3 linked regions of the Astyanax mexicanus genome follow. The protein of the gene in region 3 interacts with the protein of the main gene of each other region in a pairwise test. Links are inferred from orthologs where the notes say so. Each region holds a gene or a part of one and is shown on either strand. Other genes may lie near its edges.

The links. The genes of interacting proteins can lie anywhere in the genome.
Region 1: the proteins of tsen54 (region 3) and clp1 interact in binary tests that used the Homo sapiens proteins (3 or more experiments, as listed by UniProt). The link is inferred for Astyanax mexicanus from reciprocal best matches to the Homo sapiens genes TSEN54 and CLP1.
Region 2: the proteins of tsen54 (region 3) and tsen2 interact in a two-hybrid assay, tested with the Homo sapiens proteins (2 studies listed by BioGRID and IntAct). The two-hybrid records come from large-scale screens. The link is inferred for Astyanax mexicanus from reciprocal best matches to the Homo sapiens genes TSEN54 and TSEN2.

What each region holds. Positions count from the first base shown.
Region 1 is NC_064417.1:23,193,196-23,200,730, reverse strand, and holds the start of clp1 (polyribonucleotide 5'-hydroxyl-kinase Clp1), read left to right. Parts: upstream 1-4,265; 5' UTR 4,266-4,371; intron 4,372-5,733; 5' UTR 5,734-5,735; coding exon 5,736-6,011; intron 6,012-6,040; exon of another isoform or gene 6,041-6,231; coding exon of another isoform or gene 6,232-6,276; intron 6,277-6,839; coding exon 6,840-6,947; intron 6,948-7,535. UniProt on the Homo sapiens protein: Polynucleotide kinase that can phosphorylate the 5'-hydroxyl groups of double-stranded RNA (dsRNA), single-stranded RNA (ssRNA), double-stranded DNA (dsDNA) and double-stranded DNA:RNA hybrids. dsRNA is phosphorylated more efficiently than dsDNA, and the RNA component of a DNA:RNA hybrid is phosphorylated more efficiently than the DNA component.
Region 2 is NC_064431.1:12,867,634-12,875,464, forward strand, and holds the start of tsen2 (tRNA-splicing endonuclease subunit Sen2), read right to left. Parts: upstream 3,271-7,831; 5' UTR 3,168-3,270; intron 2,943-3,167; exon of another isoform or gene 2,655-2,942; intron 2,623-2,654; exon of another isoform or gene 2,210-2,622; intron 2,092-2,209; 5' UTR 2,087-2,091; coding exon 1,895-2,086; intron 726-1,894; coding exon 659-725; intron 526-658; coding exon 486-525; intron 1-485.
Region 3 is NC_064426.1:11,616,382-11,623,683, reverse strand, and holds the start of tsen54 (tRNA-splicing endonuclease subunit Sen54), read right to left. Parts: upstream 3,066-7,302; 5' UTR 3,019-3,065; coding exon 2,957-3,018; intron 708-2,956; coding exon 549-707; intron 1-548.

The DNA.
Region 1 (7,535 bases), on a different chromosome or scaffold from region 3:
ATAGCATCCCTGCTACCGTGAGCTGTCTGGCTGGTGAGCAGATGCTAAAGTTACAGCCAGAGCATGTTTAATAGGTTTATAACTGTAGTTTAAACGCTTTTTAAATTATGTCTGCGGTGCTGAAACAATTGTTGAAAAAAAAGAGCAAAATATTAAGTATGAAAATATATATACATATGATGATATATGATATATGGCATACATTCTGCACAATTACTCCGTTTGAACCCATTCATTTTGGGCTCACTCCGTAGCGCCCCCTGGTGGTCACACTAACCCAGAGGAGATGCTGAAGTGAGTATTCTCTCTATAAAAGCTCCCATCGGCTCAGTAAAGGAAAGATTCATTTTGGTGAATCGGATCATTTGTTTTTAGTACATGGTTTAGTGTTATTAGGCTCGATTGACTCGTTTACAGGAGTCGTTTAAGGACAGCAGATTCTTCCACAGTTCGCGCCAAAAACAGTTACAGCGGCGTCCTAAAATGCCTCCTCGCGCTAAAGCAGGTTAGTGATTTATTTTACAGTTAAATAAATGTCAGGGTTTATAACCGTGCAACATAGTAGATATTTATGTGAGTAGCCGAGGAGCTGTAGAGCAGTTGTCTAGTGTTAGTTAGCTTGTGTAACGTAGCTAAAGAGTGAGCAGCACGACCTGCACAGATTCATTAGATAACCTGGATTTTATAAGTCTGGCTGAACACCTTCAGTAATACAGCGGGTAGACAGGTTAGCTAGTTATCCAGCTAACATAGATGTTATGAAGGTGTGCACATTACGTTGGCCATGTTTTAGCCACTCCTGGGTCAGGATACGTGGTTTTCTTACCTTTAAACCTGTTTTAACCTTACAGCGATGCAGTGCTCAGAAGCGTTAGGCGATGTTAACTAACTTAACTAGTTAAACTAGCTAATATACTTAACCCAGCTTATATATGTATACGTATAATACTTCTCCTCTGAAAGCCACAAAGACTTTAGTGAGGTCAGGTTCTAATAGTGGAAGGTGGTAGTATGGTTAACTAGTGTTTTTATACCCACGTGAGAAAATGTTATAAGAGTGTTGATCGCCCCCTATGGTATGAAATGGTATGAAAAAATTTGGCACCCCTGATTTTCATTTATAAATCATTGGTTGTTTGGATCAGCAAATTTATTTGTGTAAAAAGGAATAATCCAGAATACCTTAAACCAGAAGCCAGACTCTCAATGGAAGCTATAGAAAGCTTTAGAGGTTGTTATTTCTGCAAAACGGGAATCTACTATATATTGATGTATTTATTTCTGGTATTTTTTATGCACTTTTCTAATTTGGTTTAATTATTTGGTATAATTATTGTACACTTTCTTCAAATTCTATTAACCTTATTTGATTTATTTTAACCTTATTTTTATTTATATTTTACTGAAACTGCTGGTCTGAACAATCAATGATTTATACAGGAAAATAATTAAAATGATCTGTTCCAGATTCTTTTTTTTTTTTAAGATGTATTTTAAGAGACGAGACAAGCTGTGGGTGCAATCTAAAGGAACTAAATACATTCAGTACTAGGGGTGTCAACAAACATTTGGGACTTATAGTATCCTTACCCACAAAACAAGAAAAACAGCCCCTCAGTACTCAGTAGTTAATTTCTGGTTATCTGTTCAATCCATATTGAACTAAATAGTCTCCAATATGTGTGTGTAGGTCGTGGGGCAAAGCGCAAGGTGGATGCTGTTGTGGAGTCGGAGCCAGAGGCAAAGAAGGATAAAACAACAGATGCCGAACAGGACGAAGGCCAAAGAGTGGTCATCGAACACTGGTCAGAATCAGTCTCTCTCTCTCTCTCTCTCTCTCTCTCTCTCTCTCTCTCTCTTTCAATGATTGTTAACAGGGTTAACCCAGATTTTGGTTGTATTAGTTTGTTACACAGTTGATATTAAATAAAAAAATGCATGTATAATTTTTTATAATTAATTAAATTATATTTAATAATATTTGGGAGGTGTGTAATGTATAGAGCTCTCTCTCAAAAGGCTTGTGTTCACATAATGGCTGCAATGTGTTTTTGCCTCTTAGTAAAAGCTGACGAGTGTATGGTCGGAATGCCGACATGGTCCGTGAGGCTCTCCTGGCTGTACATCCCGAGCTGCGTGTGGTGCTCAACCCCCAGAAGCCTCGTCGAAACAGCTTTGAGGTCACCCTAATGGAAGGAGACAAAGGTTATGGTGCAGCTATGCAGAATATAATGATGTCTAAAGTGCTGGTTTACTTTTATGCAGAGTTTAACTGGTCATGGCTAGGTGAGACCGGGATTCCAAAGGCAGGGTTAACAAACAATGCACTAGAATAGTTACACTGCAAACATGCTAAAACAGACCAAAAATTAAAGTCTCCAGTGCAAACGGCATTCCTTAGTCCCTCACAGTCTTGCCTTTTGGTATTGGATGGAGCCTTATCATTCTAGAGGACACAGTTCCACCGCCCCACAGCTTAGTGCCTGGGGTATTTATACTCCTCTATTGAGCCGCTGACCTTGTGCACTGTGCCAGTAGGTTTGTTTGTGTTTTAGAGAGTAATTTTCTATTCTATTGGCAGTATTTCTTTATAGGGACTATACATTTTTTGTGTGTTTATTTGCACATCTGTGTCAGCAATGAGTGAACTATTTTTTTGTTTGTTGCAGAGGTGGTCCTCTGGACTGGCATCAAGAAGGGTCCTCCCCGTAAACTAAAATTTCCAGATCCTGCTGAGGTTGTGACTGTGCTTGGCGATGCCCTGAAGAGCAACTAGAGATTAGTGAGGAGATGGGTATGTTGGAATATCATAAAAGTTAGCTTTTAGGTTTATTACATGCATGCACTTTCTGAAATGTTTATTTAAAAATGTGGAATATTTTTTAAGGAAGTTTTTTTAAAAAGCTTAGCAAATGTTTAATGTTTGATTTACCCTCATTTTCAGTCAATCATCTTTGGTTCTATGTATGCATAATGATGAGGATGGACCAAATGGACGACTTCCAGTCTGTTCTCTGATGTTTTTTGGCAACTAGACCCTGGATGATTGCAGCCTCCTTGTGATCTCTTGCTTAACCTCTTAACTCCAATTCTTGTTATTTAGATCTTGTGATCTATTCTCTCACTTTTTCTGTTTTTCTGTGTGGTTTTCTGTATGTTATGTCATCTAATAAAGTAGGATTTTTCAATATAGCAGGATACATTGGACCAACACTGGAAATTGTTCAGTGGGAATATACAATCCTTTTTAATGGTTTTGCGGTTTGGCCTCGCGTGCATGGCTAACTGAGTGATTCTGCTTTTGTAAAAAATAAAACCAGTCTGGATCTGTAGAGTTGAGGTTACAGATGTCTTGCCTTCTAACTGAACTGTTTTAGTCTGTTTTCTGTTCTCATTAAAAAAATAATAATAATAAAGCTTCTATATTTGTACTTGGTTTGTCTCCTTTCATGACCCATGTATGTTCCTTACAAGATATAAACATATCTAAAGATAATGTTCTTACATAATTTAATTTGCAGTAAATAATAATGCTGTTTTGTATCATTAAATGTAGTTAGAGATAAAATGTAGTTCCTAAAGCTGTAAATACTTTTGAAGATACAAATATTTTGTGTAACTAAGTATATAAAACAGGCCTGCGATTGTTTAGATGTCTGTACATTTTAATTGTTTATCATTTTTGAGGAATTAATAGAGGAGAGGAGAATACAATTCTCCACTTACTTTTTAACCCGTGTAAACTGAAGGAAAACTGGATTAGAAATGATTGAGAATTTGTTGTTTTATTATTCACACTCCATGGCATAATTAGATTTTATGGGAGTAAATATGTAATTTTTTGAAAGATTGGGAGACCCTATGGGAGTATGAAACTTATTGTTTGAATCAGATATTTTAGAGCAGGCACCCAAAACATGCTGGAGTATTCTATCTGCAAAAACACTTTAAGTAAGTATACACGCGTATAGTAAGAATATAAACGGCCTAAAATATTTCTTTACATATTCTTGCAATTTGCTGCATAAATATGCATACATTCTTGCATATTTATTACATAATTTTGTTTGTGACCCACTTGTAAGCCTTATTGTAGTGGACGTAAATATGCCTTCTTACATTAGAGAAAAAGAAAATAAACACATCGATATGTTAAAAATAAAGTATAATATGGTTAAAAAAACAAAAGTGGTTGTTTTCTGAGGGAAACAGTGTGTTATAGTGGGTGAAGAGTTTGTAAAGGAAAAAAGGGTCCTTTAAATCAGGAGCCTCGTGCGGGTGATGTCTGACGGCATCACCACGCGCCCGAGTTGCCTGGCGCTGGTGGGCTGTTTGAAGACCCCTGGACTTGTTTGGAGATTTTACTGGACAGTAAGGAGGAAATACAGCCTGAACTTTTTATTTTATATTTAAACACTTTTAGACCACATGCTTTTATATTTCAGGGAGGAGTTTAAACTCAGCCGCTGGATAAAGAGGATAAATCAGGCGGGCGGTGTATTGTTAGTTTGCTGCTGGGGCTCGGAGCTAAGCTAGCTAAAGGCTAAGATCGCTAACGAGTGAAACGCCTGTTCTATAAAACATTCATTAAGTTATATCACCTTTACACACAAACCTTAGAGAAGATTAAATCTGCAGTTTAATATTATCTGATCTTCCTCAGACGCAGGTGCTTAATAATATTAGCTAGTTAGCTTTCTAACAAACTTTAATATTACTATTTAACGTACACTTCGAGCTAGGTTAAGTTACCTAGATGCTATGTTTATGCTAGGTGGTTGCTGTGATGGGCCTGAGTGGTTACTAAAGTTTCTAGTAGTTGAAATTGAGATGTTGTTAAGTAAGCAGTCGCTACGATATGTCAGGTGTTTGTGATGGTATCCCTGGTACTTGCTGTGGTATTACAAGAGTGAATTCGTTTGGGATTGCTATGTTTATTCAAAGGGGTTGCTCTAGTCGTGCAGTGTTACCCCAGGGGTTGTTAGGCAGTTGCTAAAGTACCCCAAATGGTTGTTGTGGCACCCCATGTGGTGGGTTGGGTGAAAAAACGCAGTTTGGGACACCAAGCATGTCTTGGCCAAAGACTATATTGAGTAAATTTGCTTTTTTTGGCAAACTACTGCAGTGGTGCTTGAAAGTTTTTAAAAGAATTTTACAATTATACATATGATCTAAAACATCATCATCATCATCATCATCAGATTGTTAGACAAGTGCAACTTGTGTGCTTATTGAGATTCGGTTCATTTAATACTTAATTCCTTACCTGGAATCCTTGTTCATGGTTGTCTTGATAGTGGACGCAGAAACATTAATACTAGCCAATATGAGAGAGGCCTTCAGTTGCTTAGAGGTTACCCTGGGGTCCTTTGTGGCCCCGCTGACTATTACAAGCCTTGCTCTTGAAGTGATCTTTGTTAATTAACCACTCCTGAAGAGGGTAACAATTACTGAATTACCTTCATTTGTACACAATCTGTCAAAACTCTTTTTCTGAGGTCCTCAGAAATCCTTCACACATTCCACAAAAATGTGTTGGGAACACTTTGATAGATCCCTGTTCTTGAAATTGAACTGAGTGCCATTCTGATTGTCATTCTATTGATTAAAAACACTTGACTCTAATTTCCTCCATATTCATGCATTCAGTAAAAAAAATATGTATGGTCGGATAGTGTGCATTTTTGGAAAAAGCCGTGGATGGTTTATTTTCCATCACCTCTTTCCTTGCAGACATGAGTACAGAGGTCTCTGAAAAACCTGGTGAGGAAGGAGGGAGTACTGGAGGAGGCACTGGGATTGTAGGGACACGTTATGACTTAGAGAAGGAGACTGAGCTGCGCTTTGAAGTGGAGTCTGGAGAGCGGGTCCAGCTAGAACTCCTGACTGGCATGGGCGAAGTGTTCGGCTCTGAACTGAACAGAAATAAGAGGTACACGTTCGGCCCAGGCTCTAAGATCGCTGTGTTCACCTGGCAGGGCTGCAGCCTCTCACTCTCAGGAAAAACAGAGGTAAGGATCATGAGTACTGCACACCCGTTACTGACACTGACAACTTTAAATGCCAATTTCAGTTTGACACAGGATTATGACTTTGTGTCAAACTTGTTATCACTGTTGTGATGTTAAATAACCAAAATGCAACATTAGCCAAACATCAAATTTGTCATAGTTTCTGAATATGTGACTTTGATTTTCAAATAAATTAAGTGATTTTACAGTGTTTGGTTTTATGTTACTATCTGTGTGTGCCTACAGAGCTGTATTCTTTCTTGTGGTAAGCCTAGGGACATGTGTGAATCAGAACTGCAGAAGAGGGGGTTGTATACACTCCATAAATTTGACATAGAGTGTATTGGGACTGTTTTTGATCATTTAGGGACTGTAAGTTCTGAAGTTTGTAGAGTATCTTATATGCTTTGTTCCTACATGAATTGTTCATTATGTCAGCTCCACTGACCATTCAGAAAGTGGTGTTATTGTTATGTTTAATCGGTGTAGTGATATCCTTATTACATTTTTATGAATAGTTACCCCACCATACTGAACCTTATAGTAGTCTCATTCTTTTTGAATATCACTGTCCTGTGAAGCAGCAACCCATATTTTACACACCCCATTTTGCAAATTAAGGCAGTAGTTACTTTAAACAGGTGGGGTTATTGTAGTTGGATCCAAAATTGGAATTTGGAAGGTATCTCTCCAAGCAGCAGGGTTGAAGACCACTTACTTAAGCAATAGAGCCATGAAGAGGATAATCAAGCATAGAGAAAGGAAGTTCTCTGGAAATTTGTTTAAAATAAAATTATTAAAATTAGTAATATGTCTTTTTGTCTGTAGGTGGCATATATCTCTAAAGACACACCAATGTTGTTGTATCTGAACACACACGCTGCACTGGAGCAAATGAGACGACAAGCTGAGAGAGACAATGAGCGGGGTCCAAGGGTATGTCACTCCATTCACACATTTACAGCTCCAATCACAAAGCAGGTAGACTGGCCTAAATCTGATCTTTCTAGACAGACAAGACATATTTCTTAAATGTGAGCCAAGATGACTGGCAAACAACACACTGTATCTGGCATTTTCAGTTGCAGTTAAGGCAACTTTTAATATGGTGCATATCCAATACACAGTAATGCAACTCTGAACAGCCAGATAAGAATTTAGCTTGAATTTAATTAAAAATACACGCTGAGCAGAGGACAAAATGGATTGCTAGTAGCCCAGATATTGCATTCAGGTATTCCTATGCAGCAGAATACCTAATTTGTTTAGACTAACGTTGGCTAGACTACATTAAATTTAAAAGATACTGTAAACAGCCAAAAAAATATGAATTGGTGACTATCTGATTTGGGTCACTTTATCAGCTGTGTGAACATAGTCTTTGCAGTCAGTTCCCTTGCCAAGTGGCTTCTTTCGTGCTCTTTTTACTTTGTCAAAACAATCAACACAAAGTAATAATTCTAAAATACACTAGTCAGTCAGAATCAGTTAAGTACCTCTATTTATGAAAACAAAAGTTGCTTA
Region 2 (7,831 bases), on a different chromosome or scaffold from region 3:
CATTTAACGTAACAGAAATGAGTGAGACATTCTTTATATTATTTAGATTCTTCTAAAACCTGTTTAAGGGGCAAGATTCATTGCAATCCTCTTGAGGGTTTTATGCGATCGAATGAATTCTAATGAGCAGTGCGCAGATTAATCTTAGTAGACAACACTGTTTGTAGGATTGTATAATATTTTTTTTCCAATATAATAATCTGTGATATTTAAAAAAGCAGGAATTTTCATCAGAAGTTTAAGTAACATTTTAATTATATTGGGCAGACATAATATAATATGCATCTGTTAGATAATACATAATACCTATTTTTCCTTCCTAACATCTATCAACAAAAAAGTATTGTGAAATAATCTGGTAGAAGGCAGAATAACAAATTTTCATTTTTAATTATTTTTTATTATTTTTCATAATTGCTGCCTTGAAGATATTTATAATTTACAGACAGCAAAACAATCACAATTATGAAGTGCCAACTACTTACCTTGACAAGGGGATAACAGGTAAACATTCATTGCCTATGTCTAGATATAAACAGAAGAAAATAATGTGTTTTTTAGTGTATTGTATTTTAATTGCCAGTTAAAACTTACAACATTTTCATTGTAAACATGTAAAGATGAAATTAGCGAAATACAAATTCAAATCAATACTCACATTCCCACCGTTCTGAAATACTGTGCTCTGGTCTGCTTTTTGACAGAACTCCTTTACCAAAATAACCCTAGAAAAAAATTTATAAAATATGAAGTAAAAAATCTAAATACAACTAAAGCTGTCCATACACTACATGACTTTGAAAAGACTCTGAAAAGACTGAAGTCTGACACCCTCTCACATCTAAAGACTTGTCACAGACTTTTTACTCACAGAATAGTCACAGGCTAAGATTTTGCAAAGACTGAGGATCACTAACTGCAAGACTACAACTATATTCTTTCTGAGATTATTTACCATCATGCTTCAGGTGGAGTTTACATACAATACATATTACATATTAAATTACAAATAATTAAATTACAGTCAATAATGCGATTTATCAGAGACTCACAAAATGTGTCCCCATCAACAGTTAATTTTTTCTGCCACACTGTTTGTTCTTGATATTACTTAATAGAATACATTTTGTGTTCAGCTCTGATTATAAACTTCTTTTCCCCCCTTTTTGCTACATTTGTGTACAGCAAATAATCAAAGCTTTGCTGCTATACATTTGCCTTTGTTTTAAATAGAATTATTGCAATAAGGACATCATTCTTGCAAAATGTGTATTTATTAAAAATAACACAGCACAATAAGACAGAGTAGTGCAAAATAAAATAACTACAAATATAATAACTTTAAAGTGCAACCTGTGTTTAAAAAATTATACATATTAAAGTAAGAACCATATAAGGCATATTAACTGCCAAATCTGTTCTTTTTTAAATAGTTTGTATGTGAACAGTTACGTGAAATATATTCTTGCCTCTTCCCGTAGCTCCCTCTCCTATTGGTTGCTGACATTGTTCACGTCACTATTTGCGTGAGCTGAGTCTCAAGACTTGAGATAATATTAAACACGGTTGATTTTATCTGAGCGCCAGGACGCAAACCTGACTGACTAAAACTTTCAGTCATAACCACCTTATACTAAACGATCCGAATGATGCGACCGCGACTCGACTGTAGCCCGACTCTAGCCAGACTCTAGTGATTTTATCCCGACTCTGGAAATCTGTCTGCGAGAGAGAAATCGCTTAAAAATCGTTAGGTGTAAGGTCGGCATAATGCTCTATTTAAAACATTAAAATTAAATTTAGTATACTTTACTAAAACCTAAAAAGCTGAACATCCAAAGGTTTGCTTGAATAAACAGCAACAATAAAAAGGGTACATATTGTTAAAACTTACCTTTCCATACAGTGATTGAATGTGGTCAGCTTCTCGTACTATAACGTGCTGGTTTATGATCTCGGCTTTGCATATGAGGGCCCCCTGAAGTGAGGAAGTGCCTTGGACTGAGGTAAAAGGAACGGGCAGTGGGCTCTCAAATGATTCGTAAACTTTTGGTCTCCGTTTTGGAGCCTGGAACACCGCTTCCATATCTGCTGAAATGTATATAAAGAGAACATATAAGAACTGTAGGATTACAAAGTGCTGGTGTGGTCAAAAAGACTTATTCTGTAAACATTTCACTAATAAAAAGAAATATATATTTTTCTAGACCTCATTTTTGCAACCCTGTCCCAAGTTCTTACTCCTTAGCAGGGCTGGTTGTAGAGGGGGGCCCCCCAAGTTTTTTTTTTGCCCCTTTCCCATGATCTTTCTACTACAGACAGATTGTGTTTGTCCAGTATTATTAATTTTACTTTAATACTGGATATATACAGATATTTGAAGTGTATTATTAGTATCATGACATTCTGGATCATTGACTTCTGCTACAAATCTGATAAAATTGTATTTTGTAATATCTCAGTTAATGGTGTGCCATATCATATCATAGGCAATAATAATACTTAATTTTCATTTTGTTGCAGTAGTATATTCTTGAATTTTTTTATTCAGTTTTTTTTTTCATATCGCCAAGAGAATCACTATCGTGAAAATACCATGATATACCGTGATATTATGTTAGAGCCATATCGCTCACCCCTAGTTAGCTATCTACCTGTTCTAACTGATGCTCTGGTGGAGATGTATTTTAGCAAATCATCAGATAAATCTTCCCAGAAGAGTAACTTTAGGCTCTAACTGCAGAAAATCAATACAAACAAAGCTCAGAAGAAACATTAAGATGTCAATACAGATTTTTGTAGATATTAAGTGATTTCTAAAGTAAGAAGAAACACCCTAAATTCTAGTAAACAATGGCTTAACGCCTCAGAAAAACAAGATTAGAGACGCTGCTACGCTAGCTGGTTGGTAACCCTGGAGACAGACAGGCAGTTAGCTTAGCACGCTGATCATCTGCTGTAACTGACGTTAGCTTTCCCTGAACGAGCGGTTAGCAAGTTGGATAAACGGCAAAAACAGATACTGGGGTGAGTGAAAATGACAATTCTTTGAAATCATTGTGAACATTTTATACAGATTTCTCACAGAAATATAAAAAACAAAACTTTAAATCCACACATTTAGTTCCATTCATGTATTTAGCTTACGCTGTGCTATGCTAACTAACCTGCAGTTCCGGTGCCACAGTGAAACACGTCCACCGAGTTCACAGCTACTAGTATTTGGTTCCTGTCCGTTTTGAAGCAGTTGTTTTATTTCTGTTTGTTTTTGCCATTTAAGATGTTCAGGTGACGTGAAATACATAAAATAGTAACCTAGAAAAGTTAGCAGTAAACTATCAGGCCTTTTAAAGAAAAAATTGTATTAAATAAAAAAATGTATAATGTAAAAAGGAAAAAGCTATGGAAATTGTTTAGCCTGTAGTCTTTAGTCAAGCATTATTGGAACAAATTGTGTTTCTGCACTCTCTACTGCAGCATTTACACACTGCACATTTACACTTTCATCATAGAAACTACAAAAAGACACAGCAACACAGAGAACCCTGTAACTATTAAAAGTCTTTTCTTTAAAGAAAATAGCTACAGATTACGAAAGAAAGCGGTGAGTACTGTTTCATACACATTCAAAAGACCTTCAGAAACTGGAGAAAACTGCTACAGGAAGATGTCGGGCTGATCCACATGGCAACATCTTTAGCTTAGCTTAACATTGGACTCTATCTTACACCCTGTGCAAAGCGTGTTGCAATGCTTATTGCTATCTTCCACTCCATCAACAGTCTATTTTCACGCCTTGTGTTTGCATTTTTTAAGAAGCAAAGACGCTTACAAATATATCTACACAGATGGGCATGGCAGTCTGGAAGTCAGGTGTGTTCAGGTATTGCTATCTTGACAATAAAAAAAACAGGTGCATCACTGACTGACAAGAACCCTAACAACAGTTAACTGTCAGATGTGCATTGTTATCTTGGCAACTCAGGCACAATGCACGCTTAATGTGCATACACCCCCGCTCCACATACACACACACAAAACATGCAGCACTCACAAACCCAACTTTTCCATTAACAATTAGCAAATAAAATAACATTTCCGTAAATTACCTGCTTGCACACTTTCACAATGTTACTAAGCAGGACAGTTTCCTCTGCTGAGATGCAAAGAAGCAGTGAATGTTAAAATGCCAATCCACCAAAGTCAGAGCACACCGATATATGACAGTTTTATACAGTTATATAATATTCATATAACATATAAGATTTTGCTAACTATTTGTTTGTTTATAAGGGTGTTTCTACATTTAATTACAAATAAAATAGGACAACAGCCAGAATGCTAGAAGGACAGTTGACTGGTTATTCCATTCATGATACTACCAAAAGCTAGAATATCAGTACCCATGTCCCTATAATTTAAACAAATAATTTAACAGCTTCTTTATTGGCATTAGATCCTGGATATATTAATGAATACTTCCAAAAATATAAAACAATATTATTGTGTGTAAATACAAAGTTAAATATGTATTTAATAGAATAAATTAATTTAATAGAATATAATAGAATAAAATATTGCTAATAAATGTTTAAGGCTCAAACATTCCTGCTGTATATGTACAGTATAATCCATTGAACTTAGCAGATTCCCCACTAAATCAAACCATGCTGTGATTTCAGACAAGTTGAAAGTCTGAGGTGTGTCCCCTAAAATACAAAGAAAAAACCCTGACATAAAAATCTCTGATTCCAAGAAACTGTCAAGCATTTCTGGTTTTCACTGGGTTCATACTATCACTCTTTGTCAGAGTTGGTTCCTAGTTTCAGGCACCTTCTTCCAGTAAAATATTGATGAATTTGTACTTTTCGAGTGTTTTTTAAGACGCTAAAACTTATACTACTGCTCCAGTGTATCCGTATGAAGTCTACTTTTTCATCCGCTCAATTAAATTGATAGATGTCACTGTTGCTTAGCTAAAATTGGATTTTGATGGTAATCAGTGTGCTGCTTTGAGCTCTTAAAATATTTCACATTTTAGATCAGCCACTAGGGGGTAATCTTAACCAGCATGTTGCCCATTGAATAAATGGGCCTTGAGGTAGGCATCATGTTAGGCATCCTGCCAGCTTGTATATTAAATACAGCACAGTTAAAGGAACGTTAATGTGTCTGAGAATAAGTCAAAAAGAGACAAAATATGTAGATGCATAATTCTAGAATGGTTGGCTTATATTTGCTGCTAAGGTGATAAGATACATTTGCACCTTCCTAAAGCGGAGTATAGGCAAAGAAAATATATTTTAAAAACAATATGATTGTCATTTATATAAGAAAGAATGAACGTAAATGTAAAAATCTACTTCTGATATAATATCTATTTCACAGCTTTATAAATGACCATCATAAAAATAAATAGCAAAAGTTAACTACAGTTAATTTTAGTTTGATCAGCAGCCAAATGACGAATTTGGCCATGAACGCAGATGACACAGTGAAATCCAGCCAGTGTTGGTGAACTTTTACAAAGCCAAAAAACATGATACCATTTGAGCAATCGGTGACCTGATTCTTCACTGGTTGCACCTGAGAGGACAGAGTTCTTGTAGACAACAAAAGCTAAAAAAAGGGTTCTCAGAACTGAATGTGGGTGGAAAATGAGACTGGCTGGGAGAGTTAAACTGGCTTATTCAGCTTGCATGCAGTTCATGGTTGATGATTTGTCCACCACAAAAAAGTTCTCACTGTGAGGAATGTACACCCTTTTCTATCTTTACTTGTTAAAAATTTAAAAATGTATGCAAAGTACACATGCATCATAGAATAGGTATGTGTTTATATAGCATATAGTTTTTATATGGGATTTTACAGTAGAATACATAATATGTTTATATATATAAATGTATAAAAAACATATATATATATATAAAAAACAACCTAACTTAAATAAATGGGAGATATGTAATAATATTACTTAAAGAATAATTTCCTCATAATTTCCAATTGTGTTCTGTTAGTAAGAAGAACCCATAAACCTGAATGAGTGTTTTTATTTTATTTGTGTTTTATTTATTTTGAATATTTAACATTTCTATATGTAAAAAAAATAGTGTCTGATTATTCTTTGATATATATATATATATATATATATATATATATATATATATATATATATATATATATATATATCAAAGAATAATCAGACACTATTTTTTTACATATAGAACAAATAGTGTCTGATTATTCTTTATATTATATATATATATATATATATATATATATATATATATATATATATATATATATATATATATATATATATATATATATTAAATGGTATATAAAATTATAATAATAATATTTCACATCTGTGTTTGTGTGGTTTCTTGTGCCAAATGTTTAGCAAATTGTGTTGTAGAAACATTGTAATTAAAAGAATTGCATGATGCCTTTATTTCACAATGGCTATTTTTTGTAGCCATTTCGCGCAGCCCTAATAACAAACCACAGGTATGTCAACAAAAACTTCCAGACATTAGATTAATATAATTACACCCATTTAAAGAGCAAGATACTTTAATTATTAGGACCATTTATATCGAAATATACTATAAATAAATAATTTAAACATAAATACAATAACTGTTTTTACACAAAATCAACACACCAACTCATTCACATTACTAGGCTCTTTTTTTTCAAGAAAAACAAGAATGTCCAATATTGAGATCAAAAATTATTAAGGTAAAATGTTTGGATTGGATAACAAGTTAATAATATAGTTATTGAAAGAGGCCTTATAAGCTCAAAACTATGAGAAGACTATGAGAGAACTAAAAATGCTGCAGGTAATTAGCAGTTCTCATGAACATACTCGTCAGATGTTTGATACTACATTTATTTCTGTGGTCTCTTTTATAAGCATGTTCAGTTTAGTGTGAAACCACTGTGGTTTGTTACAATCAGTTATGGACAAAGTAGATACAAAAGTAGAGGCTTCTAAACATCAGTCTATTTATAATGCTGTATTTTTATGAAAAAAGTGCATTTCCTGCAAAACTAAAGAACGGAACTCAGAGCTACCAGTTCTATAGTTCAGCTCAGTCAAATCAGCAACCGCAGAGACAAAGAGTACAGTACATCTACTAACAACATCACTTTCTGTGCAATTCACTTTCTAAGTAATTTACTTTATATTCTACATCTCTTATAATAGATATACTTAACAACTGCATGTAAACAGCATCATATACAAATCTTCATTTACACTAATCAGCCATAACATTAAAACCACGCGCCTTGTATTCTGTAAGACTGGTTTTAATGGTATGGCTTATATAGAGTGTAAAATGGGAAATAATTGAGTATAATTAAATTTTACTCACAAAAAATTTCAGTTCTATATGATGACGATGAGGCCTATATCTATACCTTGACAGGAAACACTGGAACAAAAGTCATTCATTTTCACATTTTTTGTCAAGGGTTTTAATGTTATGGATAATTGGTTTAAATAAAGATCTGTATTATGATGCTGTTTACATGCAGTTGTTAGTATACCTATTATAACAGATATAGAATAGGAAGTAAATTACCTAGAGAGTGAATTGCACAGAATAGTAATGTTGTCATTTATATATGACAATCAGCCATAAGAGTAAAACCACTAACAGGTGAAAATTAGGAAAATTAGACAGTTTCTGACGCAACAGGCCACCCAACTCCTGGTACAAGCAGTCGTCATCTCACGCCTCGACTACTGCAATGCCCTGCTAACTGGCCTCCCGGCCTGCAAATGATCCAGAATGCAGCAGCACGTCTGGTCTTCAAC
Region 3 (7,302 bases):
TGCTAGAGAACACAGTCCTAAATGGATGGGGATGTTTAATTTGATATAGAGATTCTAGGGTCCTAGTCTGCAGTTTAGGTAGCACAGGTTCTTTGTACGACTGTACCATGAAGACTCCTTCCCTGTAGCCTGTTGGTCACACCTACGTAACAGTCTAACAAAGCTTTGCAGGGACATGTGTAGATTCTAGACTGAGGTGTGTAAGATCTGAAATCTTCAGGATGGTAGACCACCAGGAATGAGCACCCCGGTCGAGCGCATCAAAGTTGAATTAAAAAAGGGAAAAGGGCTCCACCTACTGGCCACCAACAGGGATACCTCTGGTAAAAGAATTGTGCTCTCTCTCTCTCTCTGGTGCAAAGGCTCTTTATTTAAACACAAATGTGTCAAAAAGAAGGAAAAGGTAACTGACTGTAGGAAGAAGCCTCTGAACAAAGGTATTTACAGAATCACCTAACACATATGTACCGAGGGCCAAAGCAATGTAGTTCTGAGAAACACTTCCTTAGAAATGTTGTTGTTGATAATTGGGTTTGGCAGTGACTCACAGTCTCTCCACACGTTCCTCTGCCACCAGAGTCCAGTGCTCCTGAAGACTCTTCTGAAGGTGTGTCTTCTGCTGCTCAGAGCCAGTGGGCAAGAACTCCTTCTGCCCTCTCACAGGAATCTTATGACTTCGTGACCGAGCATGAAACAGCTCTGATGGGCTTTGGGTAAAAAGACAGAAAAAGGCAGAACATACTGAAGAAATATGTGAAGAGGAGAAGAAATACTGTAGCTAAACAAGCTGCCTGCAAAACATTAAGACAGGATCTTCCTGTACAACAACTTCCAGTCATTCACAAACTAGTTCCTCAGAAACCTGATGGAAAAGAACATTGTATAGAATTTATAATTTAGGTTGCACTACATGTTGGTGATGGTAAAGAACCTTTGTTTAACACCGCCTCACAGGCATTGTTGGTTGATTTTAAAATTCTGATATTGGCCTGACATTCATTTAAAGGCATTTGAAGGGTTGGGGCTCTTCTACTCTCACAATGCTTTTAGGAGTATGATGAACTAATCATTATAATACTTATTATTATTATTATTATTATTATTACTATTATAATTCACTTTCTCTCACAATGCTGTGCTAATGAGGGATGACGTTCCATCTCCTAAAATACCTAGCTAACATTACATATAAGCAATGTTTTGAATTAGCCATGTCTATAGTGTAATATATCAGTAAATGCTTGGGTAATTGGGAGAAAAATGTAGTACTCTACAAACTCTCTAGCAGAAAGTTATTACACCAAATTAATTATGAATAAACTGTTGATTCTAAGATACCTGCTTTACCATATTTGAGAATATTTTGGGTCTGAAAGCAGTTTTTGTTCAAGAAATAGTTCTCAAAGACATAGTATTTGTTCAAGCCATCCACATGTATGCAGATATTTTATAAACTGTTCAGGCTGCAGTGCTATAAGCACAAGTTTCACTGATTACAGCAGCTTATCTTTACTGTTAGAAAAGTCAGGCTGTGCTGATTTGTTTTTTTTTTTTGCTGAAATCGGAAGAAGTGGGTTTTAAAGCCTAGTTTTAGAAGTGTTCACAGGTGTAAAATTTTGTGCTGTAAATAAGATAATATCTGTAATAGTCAGGTAATGTTACAAGTCTGGATGCAGCAGAAATAGCAGTTTAGCTTGTTGTAATTAGGTTGTATTCAACAGTGATGTTAACAGAGGACAATGAACTATCCTTACTGAGCTCATCTGAATACAAGTAATATATAAATATTTAATATTAGTAATTTAAATAAAGCAAAACAATAAAAACACAACGTTAAATCATTAGAGATACAAACGTGTCATATCTAGGGAAATTCCTCTGAGTTACAGTGTGCTGGATGGATATGAAACCTGCTCCATATATTGCTTTTATAGATCACTACACCGGCCAGAAGAAGGTGTGACAACGTGTCTTATACTGAGCGGATCTTCTAGCTGTGTTAGCTAGGTTGGGTCAGTTAGTTGTGGAATCAGCTGTGCTAGATGTGTCTGAAACGCATGAAATGCTGACTTGATTCCTTGTTGCTGTTCTGACAATTCACTGTTAGATACAGTTCTGTAAAAAACAATCACTTAAAAATGATGAGTTTCTTAGATTTTACCAAATTGAAAACCTCTGGAATATAATCAAGAAGAAGATGGATGATCACAAGCCATCAAACCAAGCTGAACTGCTTGAATTTTTGCACCAAGACATAAAGATATCTAAAAGCAGTGTGTAAGACTGTTGGAGGAGAACATGCCAAGATGCATTAAAACAGTGTTTTAAAATCAGTTATTCCACCAAATATTAATTTATGAACTCTAACTATAAATAACCCTAACCCTAACTATAAATATGAACTTGTTTTCTTTGCATTATTTGAGGTCTGAAAGCTCGGCATCTTTCTGTTATTTCAGCTATTTCTCATTTTCTGTAAATAAATGCTCTAAATGAAAATATTTCTATTTGGAATTTGGGAGAAATGCTGTCCGTAGTTTATAGAATAAAACAGCAATGTTCACTTTACTTAAACATATTTAAATAGCAAACTCACAGAAACGGAAGTAACGTTAGTCTCAATTTTTTTCCAGTGCTGTATCAGTGTTTATCTGTGTTCTCATTAGCTGTTAGCATTTACACAGGGCTGGAGTGGGAATGTTGGACTCAGGCATGTCGGTGTGCCTGTTCTCAGGATCCGGCCTCAGTAGGCAGCATGTTTTATTGTTCAGACGCATCAGAAAGTTTGCTGTTAGCGCTCAGACGGCAGCTCAGCCCACACATGCTCCACAGACACAAGTCTACAGCACTAGCCCTGCTAATGTGTGGCTACAAACTCTGAATTTAGACTAACCAACTAACGGGACAGAGCGGATACCTATCGGAATCTCAGAAAGCTGTAATCCCTCGCGTTTACCTTAATAACTCCTCACTGCGTTCCGCGCGTGCAGCTTCCGCGTGAGCTTGTTTCGTGGCCATGTTTACAGCTGGTCTGTGAGCGCTGGGTCCTAGTGCCGGAAGGGTTAGGGGTGTAGTGCAGCAACTGCTCCTCTAGGGGCAGCATGGTACTGTGCTGAATATAAAATATAAAATATTATACAAAACATAAAACATACTGAATGGGAAGAGGTGTGTCCATACTTTTGACAGTGAACGCTGCATTAGAGATCAGTGTTTTTGGTGCCAATTTCGATCGCTGATCATCTTTCATCTCGAGGCAAACATGGTACATATTCCCCTAATTACATCCACGCCCAAGATAACACTGGTAATTTACTCTGATAATAAATAAACAGAAGAGTTTTACTGACCAAAATAAACACTTTTCAGGAGAGATATAAGTTTGTGTAAATATTTATAAGACAACAATTTATATTTTTATATGCCAATCACCAGAGTCAGCATACTTCTTAAAATAGCTCATATTTACTGTTAATATATAACTAATAATATATTATTTTAATAGGAGCAACAGTAATCTAACACTCCAGCTAGAGCTTAGAATGGGCTAAAAATTTAGCCTGACTCTGTCTGCCCACATAACCTGTTATAACAAGCGCTGACCTGATTTAAACTTAGCATTTTTAGTAATTAACATTACAGCAATAAACCAGAGCTTTTAACTAAATTTCCAAATACTTGGAATGAGCGAATATGTTTTAGAAATCTGTTAATCCTACTGTTGTTAGCTGCTGCTGTTAGCTTGTGAGCTAACTAACCCTGTTAATTCTGCTGTTGTTAGCTGCTGCTGTTAGCTTGTGAGCTAACTAACCCTGTTAATCCTGCTGTTGTTAGCTGCTGCTGTTAGCTTGTGAGCTAACTAACGCCGTTATTCCTGCTGTTGTTAGCTGCTGCTGTTAGCTTGTGAGCTAACTAACGCTGTTATTCCTGCTGCTGTTAGCTTGTGAGCTAACTAACACCGTTATTCCTGCTGTTGTTAGCTGCTGCTGTTAGCTTGTGAGCTAACTAACGCCGTTATTCCTGCTGTTGTTAGCTGCTGCTGTTAGCTTGTGAGCTAACTAACGCCGTTATTCCTGCTGTTGTTAGCTTGTGAGCTAACTAACGCCGTTATTCCTGCTGTTGTTAGCTTGTGAGCTAACTAACTCCGTTAATCCTGCTGTTGTTAGCTGCTGCGTGTTGTGTGTATTTATGTGTATATATTTTATATAAGTGAATTCATTCATAAACATATTTGGAGTCACACAACAATGACAAAAAAAACTCAAGGATTTTAATATTTGAATTGCATGGTAAAGTTTATAGTTAAGAGAGTGAAGACAGATAACATGCAATTTTAAATATAAATATACATATATATTGTGTGTGTATATGTGTATTGTGTGTATTTATGTGTATATACGTCAATATATATATATATATATATATATATATATATATATATATATATATATATATATATAATTAATTTATAAACCTTATTAATATGCTATACCATATATCTGTCTTTGTTAAAGAGCATAATATAAAGTATTTCAGCATGAAAGCAGGTATTTGTAATGTGTGACAGCTTCCTGTATCATAACTACATCTCTGCTGTTTGAAACAAACCAAACCGTGTGAAAATGGTAGAGTTGTGATTATTATTGGTGTATTTTACTCCTTCCTCAGTGTAAATTAATGCACTCGGGGCGCAGGGTTGCCTCCTCCAATATGGCTACGGCCATGCAGACACGTCAGCTCCAATAGGTGAAGATGTATGTACATTTTCACGTAGCCCCTTTCCTAACAAATAAACCACATATCTGAAGTGGGGGGTGGGGGCGTTGTTGCTCACCAACGCGTGTTTCAGAACTTTTGAATAGGACAGTTCTTCGCCTGACACTCTGGCTGAAACTCCACCCTCTTTGACTAGGTCTGCCTAACAACAGAGCGATCTATATTCTAATTGGCTCAACGAGAGTACATTATAATTTACAGCTGATGGATTGGCAAGCGTGAGAAATACCATGTGTGGCGTGTGAGCGTGTAAACTCGCTGAGGTGCGTGTGTCACACGCTCAAAGCATGAGACTTGAGAACACTGCCGATACACAGCCGATCGATTGTTCCATCTCTAGACTGCAGGTTTAGCGTGTAAAGAGCATGGAGATGCAGAGACAGCATTTGTTCATAGCAGTGTATTTTCTGACTAATATATCAGATTAAACTGAGCCAGTTTAGCTCAGTTATAAAGTAATATATTTGATAGCTCAGATGGGTCTGATCGTTACCAGATCGTTACCAGATCGTTCTCACCACAAGCAAACCACTCTAGAAAAAATATCTGCGCATTGGGCGGGGCAGATTACAGTTGAAATTAGGGTCAAACTTGATGGCGTAATTAATTTTCGTTAACAAAATAATTACTCATTAATCCATCCAAATGAATCGTGTACGCTAATGTAACCTTGACAGCCCTGTAGGCAACAAAGCCCGGCAGTCTATTATGGAGTTTTTACCTTTGTACAGTTCATTACCCACAACAGATGCTGTTTGTTGTCTGCCATCAGTTTGATGTAGGAATAAATTTAATTTTCTCTGCAAGAAATATCCTTTTCTAAAATATTTTATGAAGTCAGATGAAGCAAGCAAGTTTCCCAAGTTGAGAACAGAGAAACATTTAATGTGACCCACCCATAATACTCTGTTCATCATTATCATTTTGGATATGTTTACTGTACTGTACTATAACTTTATACTGTGTGTAAAATCTGAACAATTGATATTTTACATCAGGAGGCTGTAGAACACACCTTAAATCTGAAGGCTAACGCTTGAGGTTTAGAAACGCCTAATGTACCACTAAAAATTTAAAAAAGGTGGTGCTGAACTTAATAATACTAGTTGAGTATGTTCAAACTGGGTGGACCATTGCTGTCACTGTCTCATCTATTTACATTGTTGGTTTCTGAGAGACACCAAAGTGGAAGATGACACCAGAGCCCATTACACATCCAGTAAGCACCATGTGAATGTGTAAATGGCCTTTGTTTTAAAAGCTTTTGACTGCACTTCAAGGCAATTGATGAAGTGTTCTGTAAGGTGTTATTAGGGGTGTCAGGTGGACAGTGGACGGTGACGTGTGTGGCCACTGTGCTCAGGCTCTCCTTTGTTTGGCCACAAAACAAGACCAACTGACCCCAGAGGTGAGGGATGCATATCAAATGAAAGAGTACCTCACAAACCAAAACATGGACACACACCACAAGGAAGGGAGCAGTCACTCCTTCCACGGCTCCCCCGCCACCCCCCACCTCCTGACAGAAAGTCAACAATGCAGCCACATTTCCAGTAAGCCAGATAGCTTCCCAAGACCTCCTCATCACCATAGAAACAAACGCCTCAAGCTGACAGTGAGGCCACCCATGCACCAAAAATGCAACATGTTCTGGCTTTACTTCACCACCTTTTGAGTTTTTACCCCAAAAGCTGAGACTTGTGTCTGTTTTTCCTTCGTAAAAAAAAACATTAAACAGAAGACAGGGGAAAAAAACTGTTAGGTAATAATACAGTTGTACTTTGGTGGATCATTATCCGAATATTGGTAATTGGGTCTTATAACTTTAAAAAAATGATTTAAACATTTGACATTCTTTTGACAATTTATTATATTTATAAGACTGCAGATAAATATTCTTTCCCAGCTTAATGACTTTATTTTCACTTTTATTTCACTTCATTCATGCATTCACCGTGTCATGGTATGCCCCCCTAAATGGCAGCAATTTACATTTTTTAGGAATTGCTATTTAATAACAATGTGGTTGACCTAGAATTACAATTATGACCTTGATTCTCTAAAATAAGTTTAAATACAGTGAACAGCTTGAGCTTCACCTCAAATATTAGGTGAAATTACTATTATAAATTCCTGAAAATGAAGCATTGTGTTTTTTTCTGCCACATGTTACTATGGCTGTTTTCTTTCAGTCAGAATATATAAGTACACCATCTTAGTAAACATATTGTACTATTACAACATTACTACCTAAACTAAACTAAACTATTCATGACTATAATCATGATTAATCCGGATTTATCATTTACATGGATTAACAATGATGTCAAACTTTTGTTCTAGAAACATTTCAAATGGAAAAATCTGCACAGAAACATTATATTGTCTTTGGCAGCACAAAGACAAAAAATGCTAATAATGGGTTGTAAGATTTTAGCTTGTGAAATCATATAGCCCATTGTCAAATGTGACAGTGACACGGCAGCTTGGTGTGCCATTCTCCATGTCTTTTTCAACCGTACTTAA